2 linked regions of the Alligator mississippiensis genome follow. The protein of the gene in region 1 interacts with the protein of each later gene in a pairwise test. Links are inferred from orthologs where the notes say so. Each region holds a gene or a part of one and is shown on either strand. Other genes may lie near its edges.

What was found. The genes of interacting proteins can lie anywhere in the genome.
Region 2: the proteins of KHDRBS2 (region 1) and CIRBP interact in binary tests that used the Homo sapiens proteins (3 or more experiments, as listed by UniProt). The two-hybrid records come from large-scale screens. The link is inferred for Alligator mississippiensis from reciprocal best matches to the Homo sapiens genes KHDRBS2 and CIRBP.

What each region holds. Positions count from the first base shown.
Region 1 is NC_081824.1:53,082,483-53,090,567, forward strand, and holds the start of KHDRBS2 (KH domain-containing, RNA-binding, signal transduction-associated protein 2), read right to left. Parts: upstream 3,060-8,085; 5' UTR 2,917-3,059; coding exon 2,826-2,916; intron 1-2,825. UniProt on the Homo sapiens protein: RNA-binding protein that plays a role in the regulation of alternative splicing and influences mRNA splice site selection and exon inclusion. Binds both poly(A) and poly(U) homopolymers. Phosphorylation by PTK6 inhibits its RNA-binding ability.
Region 2 is NC_081839.1:2,680,827-2,689,015, reverse strand, and holds the start of CIRBP (cold-inducible RNA-binding protein), read left to right. Parts: upstream 1-4,892; 5' UTR 4,893-4,975; intron 4,976-6,277; 5' UTR 6,278-6,283; coding exon 6,284-6,386; intron 6,387-6,483; coding exon 6,484-6,590; intron 6,591-6,981; coding exon 6,982-7,096; coding exon of another isoform or gene 7,097-7,120; intron 7,121-7,207; coding exon 7,208-7,292; intron 7,293-7,449; coding exon 7,450-7,520; intron 7,521-7,948; coding exon 7,949-7,965; 3' UTR 7,966-8,189. UniProt on the Homo sapiens protein: Cold-inducible mRNA binding protein that plays a protective role in the genotoxic stress response by stabilizing transcripts of genes involved in cell survival. Acts as a translational activator.

The sequences.
Region 1 (8,085 bases):
AAGAAAACAATAATTGGGATCTGTTGCTAATCAAAGGGAATGATAAATATAAAGAGAATAGTTGTCCGATATCACTAAATATGAAGATCTTCATATATTGTTTTTCAGAGAGAGAGAGAAAAAAAAAAAAAAAACAGATTTGGAAACCCTGGCTTCAAAAAACAGATAAAAAACAGATGGAAACTCAATGTTATAGAGGACTGTCTTTTTCCCCTCTTACTGTTCCCTTTTGGCTGTTATCCGGTGTATCCAAAAGACCTCCAGAAAAAATTATGCCTGTCATACATGCTTCCCTACCAAGGGGAAAGTCTTCATCACTGACATTTACACTAAAGTAACAAGTATCACTGTTCCTGTTGCTTTAACTAGTTGCTCTCTTGAATGAAACTGTTTCAACAGCCATCATACATAAAAATGTAAAATGCATCTCTAGAAAGCTTGACAGATGGTGTTTTGAAGGATAATGCCAGGTATCTGGTGTGAATCCAACATTAGCATTCTCTACAGCTCCCACAGACAACACACCTTCATCGTTTTAAACATTCAGGTGCACTTAGATCAAGCAACACAGAGAAGAAACCAAAACAGAGTAAATTTACTCAGTCCTACTAGTTTTCTGAAATACAGATTTGGCACATATTGAAAACCCAGAAATAAACACCTCATATTTTTTCTTTGTTTCACTATACTTTGTACTTTCAATTCTTTCTTTCATGTGTTTTCTCTCACGTGCTCTCTCTCAGTACATATCTCCCCCTGCTGGGAAAATACCAAAATGCAAGGTGCAAGAATGCCCCTTTGAGAAATAAGAAATAAAAGGTTTATCATATTCACATTAGTATAACATCTATAAAAAAAGTACTGTAGTTATCTCAGCAGCAAGATAGCCAAGTATATTAAATGTGTCATTATTCATTCTGGATTTTCAGCTATCAAACAGAAGCACTCTATGAAACCTAGACTCAGTAACTTTGAGAATAATCAATAAATCATAAATCTAAGAAAGACAATATGAAGACTGCTGACCTAGAGGAAGCTCTTAATGCTAACATTACAATTTTTAAATGCTTTTATATAGCTTACAGACATAATTGACCTTTGGAAATTATTCCTAGGTTTTTAGGATAATTACATTTTTAATGTTTTAAAGGGGATCATTAAAGTTTGTTTGTTTGTTTTGTCTGATTTTTAATCTCAGCTTCATTTCTGGGCCAGTTAGAACATCTTGATTTACGCTTCATTGTCACTAGTTCTCCTTTATATTTGCATTCCAGTTTGACTGTATTTTAAATAAAGCAACTATATGCATGAGGAAAAGAAAGTACAAGGAGAGTTTAATTCATTGTATTTCTAAATATTTAAAGTGCTGTACATTAAGGTAGGACATAAATCAATAGGTATGTGACTTGTAAAAAAGGAGCAAATGATAAAGTTTTTAAAGTCTTCCCAGTTCCATAATATAGCTAACTCAAGTGCGTGAAATGCAGCTACATTACACACACTGATTGTTATAATGAGAACAAAATGTTATCTATACCGTTCTTTAGGTCACAGTACCCACCTAAAAGAAATGCAGCAAGTCCTTAATGAAATTATGTCATGAAACTGATAAACCATATCCGGTGAATACATGAAATAATAAAGCCAATGGAAAACAATGCTGCAGAATAAACATAATACTGAATTTAGTTGCTATCAATAAGCCCTAGTACCTCAAGACAGAAACCAAGACAGAATGAGTATAATGGGAAACTAACATCTGCCTTTGTGTAAATAAAATCAGGAGCCATGGAAGCCCTACCCCCAGAACCTACCCGACTGTAACGGCTCATTTATTCAATGAAACAATTTGCCCTTAATGAAAAAGCCATGAAGACAACCACTTTCCATAATACAAATAAAATAAACATACATACATACATACATACATATATATATATATATATATATATATAATAGATTTAGCTTTTAAGCTGGATGTTTGGTTCTATAAATAAGATCCTCAGTACTCTGCCAGCAGAACCTATTTGTAAGCAAGCTTCAGAAAGTATCAGTGAGTAAGAGAGGAAGGCTATCTTTATAATGAATGCTCTCTACTTTCCTAGGAGAGACAGACAAAATGTAGCTTGTACTCCGCAAAAGCAATGGCTTGCTCGTCATTGGCAAGTGGAGCTTCTACTAGAGAGAGCATGACATCGTCCACAGCGTGTCCTCATCCAGGGTTAAAAATATGCATCTAGCTGCCTCCCTACCCCCGTTTCAGTATCTCTACAGACAGCGGTGAGTGACTCGCTGGTACCCCTGTGCTTGAGAAATGCAGTGGAAATCCAAGCTACAGCTTGCATCCACAGGGACGCTGATGGGCAAGGGGCTGAGGTGGATTCACTTAAAGGAGCGGGAACCGAATCATAGAGAATGAGGGTTGGGAGGAACCTCAGGAAGGCATCTAGTCCAACCCCCTGCTCAAAGCAGAACCGTCCCCTACTAGATCATCCCAGCCAAGGCTTTGTCTAGCCGGGTCTTAAGGATGGAGACTCCACCACCTCTCTTGGTCGCCTGTTCCAGTGCTTTTCTGCTGCTTTTCTGCTCTCCTCGTGATGATGACGATGACAGTAACGACAGTAACAAGAAGCCCGCAAACACCTTTGCCCACTTGCGAAGTGGGGCTGCGTGGGGACACTGCACTTGGCGGCACCCGCTCCTGCTGGCGATGCCACCAGTCCCCCCCCCCACCGCCACCTCTGCCCAGCTCTCTCCCTCCAGGGAAGCCAAGGGCAGGGCTGCCCGGATGCCACCGGGGCGGGCAGAGGCTTGGCCGGGCTTACCTTCAGCCAGGAGGCGCATGGCGTGAACAAAGGACGGATCCAGGCTGTCTTTCTCTGCCATCAGCTCGGGCAGATATTTCTCCTGCTCCATAGCCCCGCCGCTGCCGCCGCCGCCGCGCCGCACTTCGGACCGGGCTCCGGGGGCTGCTCCGCGGGCGGAGGCTGGTGCCGGGCGCGGAGTCCCCTCGGCAGGGAGCGCGCGGGCCCGGGCCCCTCACTGCCCCATGCACCGCCGGCCGCCCCCGCCGCCCCGTCCCCACCCGTCTGCGCGACTACCGGCGCGGGCCCCTCCGGCTCTGCCGCGCTCGCCCCCTCCGCGCCGCGCTGCTCTCATAGCGCCGGCCTTAACTAGTGAGGCGGGAGCAAGATGCCCGCCCCGCCCCTTCTCCCCGCTCATTGGGCAGTGCGCTCTGGAAGGCGGAGCCCCGCCGGGCGCCTCTGCCACGCCATTGGCTGCGGCCCCTGCCTGGACGGCGGAGTGGCAGGGCGCGCCGCGGGCAGGCTGGGCGGGGCGGGGCGGGGCGGGGCGGGGGAGGCAGCTGCTGCTGTCCAGGGTGCTGAAGCGGCGGGAAAGGACTGAGCTGGGCCGGAGGCGGCGGCGGCGCTCCCCGCACAGCGCGGGAGCCCAGGGCCGCTCCGCCGCGCTGCACGAGGCTGCCCAGGGCCCGTCGCAGCGCCCCGAGCTTTCTGCTCGAGCTGAACTTGCGCCGCTGCACGGAGCCGCCGAGGCGGAGGGGTCTCGGGCTCCCTCCTCGCCCGGCTCTGAGGAGCGCCCCGGCCGGCTTCGGGCACGACCTGCCCTCAGCGGGGCCAAGAGCTTCGCTTCCAGCCACCGTCTCCCATCGCTGTCAGGGAGTCACCCCCCCGCGCGCGCACACACACGAGTATTAACACACTCGTTAATACCGTCCTTTAAGACTAAACAAAGCATTCCCCGAGACATTTATATATGATATATGTATATATCATATACACATCAAGTAGTATATCTATCTATCATATTATATATGTAGATGTAAGATAGATAGATAGATAGATATAAAATACGATGTACGTAAAATATGTATATAATATATAAATATATACACACACAGATGCAGTCATATATATAATAAATTCTATACTCGATTATATAGTTATTATATTTTATATAATAAACACAGATATACATATATACACATATATCATAAATTATATGGTAGATTATTTATTATGTTTTATATAATAAGTTACATGCACAGGTATATACATATATACATAAATCACACATTACATGGTAGATTATATATTATAGTTTATATAATAAATTAAACATGCATATAAACATGTATCATAAATTATATAGTAGATTAATTTATTATATAAAATATATAAACACACAGGTATACACATATATCATAAATTCTATAGTAGAGTATATATTTATGATATTTTCTGTAATAAACACACAGATATACATATATATCATACATTCTGTAATAGATATATATATTTATTATACTTTATATAATACACACATATACATCTATACATAAATTATATAATACTTGATATATTTATTACATTGATATAATATATTAAATATGTATCATGCTATATGACAACATGGAATACATTCATAATAAAATAATCAATCAATTGAATCAATAAATTAGATGCCCAATCCATAGTTCATCTTTAAATATATTTAAATATAAATATAGCCATAGTTGGAATATAAATATGTTCTTCTGGACGGGTTAAGAAACTTCATTGCTCAAGAGAGCACCCTCAGTAGAGCATGTTCCCTGAGCTCCTGTTCTAGTCTAGGACTCTGGTTTGTCTTATTAACATATTGATCCTGATGATCACATGAAATGAAATATTTATCCCCATTCTCTACCTCGAATGGCCCGGGGCTGCCTGTGCAGCAGCTCTTGTAGCCTTGGCTTGTGAGAGAGATGAAGAGGGAGGCAGCAAGCACCCAGCTCTGGCCGTGGCTCTGGGTTGAGCGGGCTCTGAAGAAATTACAGCTGCAGTGACAGAGAAGCTGGATCTGTGATGCTATCAAACCCAGCCAGAAAGATTCACAGCAGCTTTCATTCCATTTCCCCCTCAGTGTGTCCTATAATTGAGGGGTTACACATGTTGACAAGAACAGATAGAAAATGCCACACTGGGAAATGGGCTAGTAGTGTTTTAGAATCCTTCTCGAGGAAAAATAAGTGAAATTATTGGAGAGCAAAGTTTTCTGCAGAGACAGAAAGGGGGGGAGGGGAGGGGAGGGGAGGGGAGTGGAGAGATGTTTAATTTGAACAGCTTGTTGGTGGATAATAGGACCGTGCTAACAGAGGTGGCCAATCTCATCAGCAATCAGTCATTTTTATTTCAGATTGGAACAAGTAAGAGGGAGGGAAAAATGAGTTTTCCTCTTTTAAATAATAAACTAGCATACAGCCAGACAGTGAATGCCTCTCCTACTGATATTTACCCACATGAGTAGTCTTTATTTAGCCTGGAGGAAGATGGCATTTCATGGTGAGTGCTTCCTGAAGGAACACCACGTTACAGCTATAAAGCTGTAGGTAGCTGGGAAGCTTCCTGCCTGAAACAGCACCTCTCTTCTCATGTTTCTCACATACAGGAACAATCATCAGAACCGCTCCAAATGGTGCCTCCTTTCTTAAACCAAAAAGAGGGGGCTGGTGGAAATGTCTTGCAAGGGGCTGTCAGCAGTAACTTCAGTTTCCCACTTTCAGAAATAGAGCTTCTCAGTGGTTCTCAGCCCTCTTAGGCTGACTTTTTGAAAGGCTCAAGGCACACCCAAGAAAATGCCAGCTCTTGGTTTTCACTCATTTTTTGACAACAATGAAGTAAAAGAGCAATTCTTCTGTTGCAAAGAACTCAGAAAGGCCACAACAGCTCAGAATTTTTTATCACTAAATTGCTGTATGGAAACTCTAAGTTTCTCTTGTGAATTATATTTGCACACCTAATACTGTCAACTATGTAGTATTCTGCAACACCTCTGAAAGGAGCTCAAGGCACCCCAGGGTACCACAGAAGCCAACATGAGAACATGGCTTAGGTCTTTTAGCATTCAGGTCACACTGAAAGGCTCATCTGTGGGTCAGCCTCCTTTGAAAAGTTAGTTTTACTGGAAGCGATCTGCAGCAGACTTGCATACTTGTCGGTTACTCAGTTTTACCAGTTTATTGGAAGGCCTTGGCCAGATACACTTTATTTTTATTTTGAATATTACAGTAAAGCTATATATTTAAATGTTTCTAACATTATATGCTATATCCTCTTATGCATTAGAGTGGGCTTTATCCAGTTAATCAATTTTGTCAGTGTAGAGAATACAGAAAGTGACATCTTTTATTGCTCTTTACATCAAAGTGACCCATGACAATTTTTTCAAGGGTCTCATTTTCAAATTCTAGAGCTCAAGCCACATTGAATTAAAATGATACTTTGGCTGATAAGTTACAAATGCTTTTGATAACTGTATTTATTGGTCAAATATGAAATACAGACCTTTGGTGATGTGATGGATGACTTCTTTGCAAGCTGTAAATGGGATGTTTGTTATGCCCACTAAAAACTGAAGACACCTTTTACAAATGTTTTATTTGAATGATTGAGCCAAATTATAAGGTCATGTTAAAGGAATACTCTCCTGGGTGAAAATTTTATAAGTAGTCATTAAAAGTGACAAAATGTAAAACAAACACACCAAAAAAACACCCAAAACTATTTAAGCAGTAAAAACTTTCTCTCTACCTTCCTGCAGGGTCAACGCATAGGGGGTGCATGTGGTGGTGCACCCCCTACAAAAAGGCACAGCCAACACAGTCAGCAGTGCCTGCAGGTGGTCACTGCTTGGCACCTTGCCACTGCCACTGCTGGCGGCATCTGTGGGCAGGCTGTGATCCCCGCTGGACACTGCAGAAGCTGCTGGCAGCGTCTACGGGCAGTCTCCAACCCCTGGTTGGCGCTTGCCACCCTCCCCCACTTACCGCTGCCGTGATCCTGCTGCCATCCCCCCACAGCCACCAGAGACATGCATAGTTCATGACTTCCTGTATCTTTAGCGACACTAAGTGTTATTAATTTTTAATAATTTATTCTTAAGGACTTGTTGCTTGCTTTTTGATTTCAAGAAACTATATGAGAGCAAGCCTTTTGATGGGTACAGCCAAATATAAAAAGACATAGTTCTTACATTTGGCAAGTAGCACAGCTCCAAAAAAACCCTGATTATGACAGGTGAATCTTAGTGCATCTACCTCTGAACTCAGTATTGTGTCCTGTTGTAATAACTTTGAACGTAAAGGGCACTATCAGTGTGTAATTTCATAAATATTTCTAAACTTACTGGCACATGTTAATATATATTATATTATATATATATATATATATATATATATATATATATATATATATGGCCGCTGCAACAGAGTTACTCCCCTCTACTACTGCCTGCTGCAGGCTCAGGCAGAAGAGCTGGCTCCCCACTGCTGCGTGTGCTCTCAGGACGCAGTGGGGACCTGCACTCCCCAGATCTGTGTGGGGGTAGGAGTGAGATGCCCACCGTGGGCTTGGGCACCCACCCTGCTGCCATCCCCTGGGGCCTCCTCAGACTAGCATGTGCGACCCAGAGCTGCAGGAACAGCAGAGCTGTGCAGGAAAGTTATTTGCCACTGTGAGCTCTGTGCTGTCTTGGCGATGCATCCTCCATGTGAAGTGAGGGAAGTGGCATGGGTGTGTGCTGCTCACTGCAGCCCTATGTGCAGGGGATGCATCGACAGGGCAGTACGGAGCAAGCAGCGGCAAGCAGCTTTCTTGTGTGGCTCCACTGCCCCAGCGGCGCTGGGTTGCACCCACTGGGCTGCAGAGGCCCCGGGGAGGGCAGAAGGGCAGAAACCTAAGTCTGCAGCAGGCAGTGCACACCCACGCCCACCCCACACAGATCTGGGGGTGCAGGTCTCCCCTGTCCTGGTGACATGTCCTCCATGTGTGGGACTGCAGTGAGTAGCACAACCACACACGGCTTCCCCTGTTGCCCCTGCACATGGAGGATGCATTGCCAAGGTAGCGTGGATCTTGTAGCAGCAAGGAGATCCCTACGCAGCTCGGCTGTTCCCTGCCATGCTGGGTCACACACACTGGGATACAGGGGCCCCGGGGGGGGCAGCACGGTGGAAAGCCAAGCCCACTGTGATCAGCCCGCCCCAACTCCCATCCCACGTACAGATCTGGGGGGAGTGGGTCCCCT
Region 2 (8,189 bases), on another chromosome or scaffold:
TAATTCATACGGCTGAGAGATGCCGTGATTTAAAGTGTAGAGAAAACCCGTATCAGCAGACTATGTTTTCCACCTCTCTACAGCCGTGAAAACTTCCGGCTGTCCAAAGCTTGAATCCGAACACCGAGTACAGACAGCCCTTAAGTGAGGATGCGGCATGGGCTAATGGAAGAAGTAATGATCTGCTGAGCGAGACATGGCCACGTGCTTCTATCCTCCGTAAAATAGGCATGAATGATGCGTGGTATCTTCGTATGGAAGTACCCCCATGTAAAAAGGCAAATACTTCTAAAGGAGAGAGACCTTGAGGAAAGCTACAGTGCTGCAGGAATCGGGGCCTATGAGTAAATCGTTCATGCTCTTCCTTATAACAAGGAGCCCCTGGCTTCAGTGGGCGCTGGGGTAGTCACGAGATTTGGGGAGCTGTGGTCCATGGCAGGGGACGAAGGTGAGGAAATAAAGATCATCCCAGCACGCCTTTATGACCTCTCCCACCGTGGTGTTAAGGACCGATGTGCTATCAGGGATGACTTTTTAGGTGCAAATGCAATCGCGGTGTTATCAGGGGATTTATTATCAGGGGTGTATCATCTCAGGTGCTGTGCAACCACATAGGAAGATACGGTCTCTGCTTTGAAGCGCTGATAGGCTATGAAGACTGTTTCTATTCATGACAGATCCAGTGGCTCTTCCACTGCATTAGGTTTGTTGTGGCTGCAGTGATTTCTCATTGGGCAATCGAATGGTAATTAGAGTTTATCTCAGCCGGGGAAGGTAAATATCCTCCAAGCCCTAAAATGTTTGGTAGTTTGATTTAACAGAGTGCCCACCGCAGACAGATGCACCGCAGCGCTGGTAAAGTTAATTTTGCACTATGTATTTGCCATTTAGTTTGTCAGCTATTTTGTGATCTGGGGCTGAAAACTGCTGTGTAAATGTCAGCCGCTATTATAGAAATATTAACTAATTACATATAAATGGTGCATACGTTACTTTTCAGCAGGTAGTTAATTCCCTGACAATATAGGAAGTTTGCGGGGCTGGCAAATGTTTGAGATGCTCTCCCGGCGCCGCTGTCAGCTCTAATGTCACAGAGATCTATCAATGTCTTGTGATGCAGCCCTGACATGTATTAAGAGATCTTCCTGAAACGAATAGCTCCAGGTGCCAATTGTGTGAAACAAGAACTCATTGCAGCGCCAAGGAGGTGAAGGCTCGGAGCATATGACTGCTGCAAAAGACTTGTTTACAAGCTCAGGAGACATATGCTATTACTAATGCCCTGGATCAGCTAGATGGGAATCAGAGGATGTAGAGCAAATGAAGCCTCTTGGGAATGCAAGAACGGGGGCAAGGCAAGGATGGGGCCTGGAAAGATGCGGTCTGGCTGATCTGGTTTTAGCAGCGTGACCCTGAAACCGTCCTTATTCGCATGTCAGAGAGAGCAGAATCAGGTCCTTCATTTTGGGGGGTTCGATGCAGATCCTACTGCAGCCCCCCTTGCACTGGCGTTGAAAGGAGAGGAGGAATCAATCACATGGCAAGGTGTGGATGTCCAGCTATGCTCACGGAGCGAGGTCTTTCCTGCCCTAGAGCAGGGGACTGGACCCGGCAAGGTCCCTTCCAGCATCTATGAATCTGTGTAAACTGAGGATCTACCCCTTGCAACCGGAGACGGAGCAAATATGGGAAGGCCGGGCACTGAGCTGTAGTTGTAAAGTAAACATCAGGCACGTCAGAGGAATCGAATCCGGGTCAGTTTTCTACTGGGAGCAACAGTAACGCAAAAAAAAGTTGTTTTAAAATAAATAATAAAATTGCTTCTTCCTTTTCATACCGCCCCTGTCCCTGGCCAGAGATGGCTCTCGGGCTCTGCACTCCCAGCCAGTGACTTGTTCTTTATCCCCGCTGCTAAAATGGCTCCACACTTCAAGGTCACTTTATCTGGCCTCATTGTGAACCAGAAATGCTTATGTTAATGCCTCTCTAATTTAATCAAAGCAGGGCTGCTAGGGATTCAGGCTCAGGGCTGCGTGGCTGGCTTGGGATTTTTTTCCCCCTTCTCTTCCTCCTTCAAGGACAAAAATTGATCTTCAGATCCAAGCAAGCTCTGGATATCCCTGTCCTTTTTTTTTAAAAACCCATGGACCATGAAACCTGCTGCAGTATCAGGGGGGATTAAAAATAACCCACGATGCGTCCACGTTTGCAACTGAGAGTTGATATCACCGTTCAAAACATATACCTGGCATTTAAAATCAGCAGCAAGCAAGTGGACTGCGTTTGCAGCAGTGCACCATGTCGTGCTGCCCTTTAACAGTAGCTTGCCGTTTGAAATCACTGAGTGAAGACCTTTTATTGTATAGTCTTTTGTTTTATTGCAAAGCTTCCCAGATACACTGAAGCCCCAACAGCATGTGTATAAAATGTGTTATTTTGATGACATGCCCTTGCTAATTTGCACCCAAGACGGGGGGGGGGGGGGGGGGGGGGGGGGAATGAATGAGGTCTGCAAATGAAGCAGCAAGCAAACATGCACAATAATGAGCAGGCATCATCCCACATTTGTTATTCGTTTATTAAGAGAACTGCTTCAGCGGTAATTATTTTATAGACTGCTTTACTGTCAAAGAGGGGTGACTGTTGTTTTTGCTGTGCATTTGTCGGGATACATGATCCCTTGGCACCCACCGTACGAGAGCTGCAGACTGGTTTCTACAGGGAAGTTTTGCCAAGAAGAAGTGAAACCACCATGTTTGCATGTTTGGTTTGGGGAAGAAAGTTTCTCCAGCGTTTTGTTTTATCGTCCCTACGTGGAGAAGCCGCTCGCGACCGTGTAAGACGGAGCAAGTTTGCAGCGAGGAATTCCCCCCCCCACCCCCCCGGTTTTGGGGGGTTTTTTTGCTCGCAGCTCACACGTGCACAATGTCAAATCAAGGCAGAAAAGACCAATTTCCCTCCCGTGACGAGTACAGAAAACGAACGCTCGTTATTTTAGATAACAGCTGTGGGCAGACGACTTATTTGAATATGGCTACGGTTCCTTTTGCTGCTTTTGTTTCAGTACCCTTTAGGAAGCCAGCTCTGACATTTGAGAGTAAACACGTCGGAAGTGCATAGGGAAGCCCTCGGTTGTTTTTCTCCTCTCCAGTTTTGACCCCTAACGGCTGTTGAGGGTGGAGGAGGAAGAGAGACAGAGAGAGTGATCTGAACTGCGAAGGAAACGAGGTTGAGGTTTCTTTCGCATCGCGAGCCTCATCCGAAGAAGGCGCCGTCTCCCCCTCGGCGGCGACACGGCTTCGCGCGGCGCGGCTGCGTTTTGAGCGGAGGACGCCGCCGTAAGAGAGAGCGCAACATCAAGCGATTCGTTATTTCGTGCGTTATACATGTGCATTCCCACGGGGGATATGTGTGTGCCTGCGTGTGTGTGTGTGTGTGTAGGACAGCTGGTTTCCACAATTTGCATACGGGAATTTTTCCCATGCAAACCTCCTCCTCTCAGCAAGGAAGTGGGGCGTTGAAAACCCGGCGGAGAAAACCCGCTCGGAAGCCAGGACGGCATCGCTGTGCACTGCGGAGGGGGAGGGGGGGCGTCCGCCTGCCCAGCCTCGCACATGCGTGTGTAAGGGCCGCGGTGTGGAGCTACCGCCGCACAAGTCGCTGGACGGGACCGGCTCGTAACGCTCGGACCAGGCCCGTCCCCGCGACGTGCACCGGCGTTACAGGCGGAGCAACGCCGCCATGACACGGCACCGCGTTGTAAATCAGCTCCTCCCGCCGGGCCCACGTGCGGGGCAGGCCTGCTTCACAGGCATCCCGAGCGGCCGTTCCCCTCCCGACCCGCCGCCTCCCTCCTCGCTCCTTGTCGCGGGTTCGAAGGCCGCGAGCGTTGCCGTCCACGGGCTCCATCTTGCCCAGGCTCACGGGTGCGAGAGAGCGAATTGGGCCCTGACGCCCCTCGGCAACTCTTCCCTGCCACGGCGAACCGTAGGGTGGCCATCATGGAGGACAGCCCAGGTGTCTTCCGTCCTCAATCGATACGAAACCGGACGCCTTTATTTTTAAAAATAGAGGACGTTTCCGTATCGAGCGAGGACGGAGCGGCAGAAAACCGGGACGTCCTCCCCGACGGCCACCTGAAGGGGCGCCGTGGGGGGGATCGGACCCATGAGGACAGTCGCATTTTGGGGGAGACTCCGGGCAGCGAGGCCTGAGGCACGTCTTGCGTGGTGTGGGAAATACACCTGGGAACAGGATGGGTCTCTTCGGAGGGAGGACGGGGCAGCTGAGGAGACGGAGGGGAGACGTGGCGCCGTGAGGAGACTGAGGGGAGTGGTGGCCGCGAGAAGACGGCACAGGGAGAAGCGTGGTGGGCGCGTGAAGTGATTCGCGTGAGGGGCCATAGCAGCGAGGTGGGGACGGTGCTTGGGGACACGTCCAGGGGGGTTGTGTGGGGCTGCGAAGGGGGGGAACGGCCCTCGGGAAGAAGCTGCCTGGATCCAAGATGGCGCCCGCCCCCTCAACCGCCCCTTTGTCTGCAGCAGTGGCGGGAGCCGCATTGCCGAGGAGGCGCGAAACTAGGGCACCGCGGCCCCGCCCCCTTTCCCGCCTCGGGGGACTGCGGCGCGGGCCGGAGCCAATTGGAACTCAGCACTCTCTTCTCCCCCCTTCTCCTCTGCCAACGGCACCCCGCCCTCCTCCCTCTCCGCCCAATCAGTGCTTCCCGGCCGCGCTCCGCCCCCACGTGGGGTGGGCACGGATTTTTGATGAATATTAATGTGACACTGCCCAATCAGGGCAGCGGGGCGAGGAGGAGGGGCGTGCCGCTGCCTCGCAACCGAGCCGGGTCTCGTTTGCATATTTATGAGAGAGGCGGGGTCGGAGGGGACATATATAAACAGCGTCTCCGTCCGCCTCGGCGTACTTCGCGCTGGGGTTTGGAGGTGCTGAGTGGTTCGCGTCCCCGCCGATACAGGTAGGGGGAGGGGAGACGGGGGTGGCGAGGTGAGGTTGGAGGGGAGGGGAGGCAGGCAGGCAAGCAAGCAAGCAAGCAAGCAAGCAAGCAAGCTAGCTGCATCGTGCGAGCTACTGGTTTCCTCTGTGAGGGCCCTTCGGCCTGGGCCCTGCCCTCAGTTTCCCCTTCCCCGTGGCGGTGGGTAGGCCGCGCAGGGCCAGCCGCGCTGTCCCAACCGTCGGTGGGGGTGGGGGGGAGGTTTGTTCTAGAAACAAAATGGCGGCTGCACTCGCTTGGCGCAAAATGGCGGCGGGGACACGCGGGCCGCAGTGCGCATGCGCCAAGTGGGCGGGGCCAGGAGGGCGGTGCCATGACTTGGCTGCGTGCAACGCGCATGCGCGGGGGAGGCGGCGCTGTGCACGCGCACAACAAAGGCTTGCTCTGCCTGTGGCTTGGGATCCTGATTGGGTCCCGGGGCCCTGGTCTATAGGTGGGACAAGCGCTGCGAAGGGAAGCCTGGGGTGGTCTGTTGCCTTGTATTAGATTTGGAGCCTGAACAGCATGGGATGAATTCAGGAACTGCTTGGACTGCTGAGGCATGAGGATCTCTGGGATCCCTGCCTCTATCAGAAGGGTGCTTGGGTAGTGTGCAGGTCTCATAAGCAGGGATTCTGGCTTTCTCTGATGTAAAAAAACCCCCCAAAACCCCACCCCAATTTCAGATTAAAAAAAAAACCCAATTTTTTCCACAATTAGATTTATAGCAGCACTTCCTTTTGTCTATATTTTAGTGCTGCTTTGTTCTAATTGCAGAAAAATGTGGATTTGGGGTTCCTCTTCTAAATCTGAAAGCTGGGGATTTGTTTTAATCGGAGAAAATGGGCATCCCTGGTTATAATGCCTTGTTTGATCAGCCCTGGGTGGCTTTTAAACTTTTTTTTAAAGAAAAAACCGGTTATAGAAATCCTAATATTTGTTTTGTAAATGGGCAGTGTCATCCTACCAAGTGCATAACACTTGTAAATGAAGCTTGTGGATAGATTTGTATTTCAGCTTTAGTTTTTTGAGTGGAGGTAACAGCTTGATGCTGGACTGGCAGCTGGGGTCGTGGTAGAGGTAGCTTTAGACTGAAGTCGGGCAGAAGTTGTGCCTTCTAGATCATCTGCACTGGAGACTTATTTAATAGGCTTCCTTGAGCCTGTGTTCACTCTCCGAGCTAATCTCTCCCCTGGGGGGTGGGGGGCATGTAGGCCCCGCCCCAACCAAACTTGTAATTTGCTTCAGAGATGGACTGATGCACTTCTTTTTTTTTCCCCTCTGCAGATCAAAATGGCATCAGATGAGGGAAAGCTTTTTGTTGGTGGACTGAGTTTTGACACCAATGAACAGTCATTGGAACAAGTATTTTCCAAATACGGACAGATATCTGAAGGTAAGATTAAAACTGTAAAACTGCAGACTGAGAACTTTAATTTTTCTGTGGTATATAATGGGTTTGTGCAATGTAATTTTTTCCCCCCCTTTTTCAGTTGTGGTGGTGAAAGACAGAGAAACCCAAAGATCAAGAGGCTTTGGGTTTGTCACCTTTGAGAACATAGATGACGCTAAAGATGCGATGATGGCTATGAATGGAAAGGTAAATAGATTTGTGTCCTTTTTCCCTGATGTGGGGTGGGGGCAGATTTGGGGAGGCCTGTGTCCATTTTCCTGCTTTTTAAAGCTATTAACCATTTTGTATTTAAATGGTCCTGTAAGATGTGAATTTGGAATTAAAAGTTAGATTGAAGAACTAAATATTTACTGCAGGTGTGAAAACAAATGTGCAAGTTGTAGATGAATCCTGCTTGCTTTCTAAAAGTGTCTTGGCTTTCTTTAATTTGATGGCGGTTGGTTGGTTGGTTGGTTGGTTGGTTACTTCATGTGAAAGAGCCATCTATTGATAAAAATGATAGATTATTTAGCACTTGATGCCTTCAAAGTGTGTTGCAGGACATTGAAGTACTGATTTGGGGTTTTTCTATTTTCAGTCTGTTGATGGGCGCCAGATCAGAGTGGACCAGGCCGGTAAATCATCAGAAAACAGATCTCGAGGATACAGAGGGGGTTCAGCTGGAGGCAGAGGCTTTTTCCGTGGAGGCAGAGGTCGGGGCCGTGGTTTTTCTAGGGGTGAGTCAGTATTGCTGACTTGCAGCAACTGACTTTGTTAAGTGCCGAATTCAAGGTACTAATACTGCTCTTTGTATGTTTTCAAAGGAGGTGGAGACAGAGGCTATGGTGGAAGCAGATTTGACTCCAGAAGTGGGGGATACAGTGGCTCCAGAGATTATTACAGCAGCAGGTAAGTGCATGTGGAAGGCCAACAACTGTCCTAAGCACATGTGAAATAATTAACCTCAGAGGGGATGTAAATTTACTCCAGACAGAAACAGCACAATAGCTTTAATATGCAGGAGTTCAGGTGACTTTTAAAAAACAGGTGCTTGTTTTTCAATCAGCAGGAGTCAAGGTGGTGGATATGGTGACAGATCTTCAGGAGGCTCCTATAGAGACAGCTATGACAGTTATGGTAAGTCTTAGTTCAAAAGGGAATGGAAAGTACATTGCTGTAGGAACTCGACCTCTTGACCTCATATTGAAGTCTGGAAATACTGTAAGCCTCAGGTCGGAGCATATCACCTGTTTTTGTTCTTGCCCATAAGAACCAGTCTATTTGTCAGGCCTTGGATGTGGTTGTGCCATTTTAAATTCCTAATCGTAATGCATGTGTAGGACTTGCTAGGATCTAAGGCAAAGCAAGTATTAAATGCTCACCTTCCTCAAACTGGAGAAAACGGCAAAACCAATGCCCTAACAAGCATTATCACGGGTGGGGGAAATTCTCTTTTTAAAACCTAATGAAGTAGCACTAGCCTCTGAAATAATACAAGGGAGTGAAATGCTGGAACTTGTCTATGCTTCAGTGCCTTTACAATTGTGCCTGCTTCTTGTCCTCAGCTACACACAACGAGTAAAAATCCTTCCTGACTCAAGATCGTCCTTCCAATGGCTGTATTTATAAAGATTTTTGGAGCTTCGCTGAAATCGTTATTGTGTAGTACATCTACTTGTATTTCCACTTTTGTAGTATTATCAGTTCTGATCTTGTCAAAACACAGCCTGACAGCTTCTGCTATGAGATGGTCTAATTAGACTTTTCTTTAAGAAAGCTCTGCTTTCAAGTGTTTTTAATCTTTTT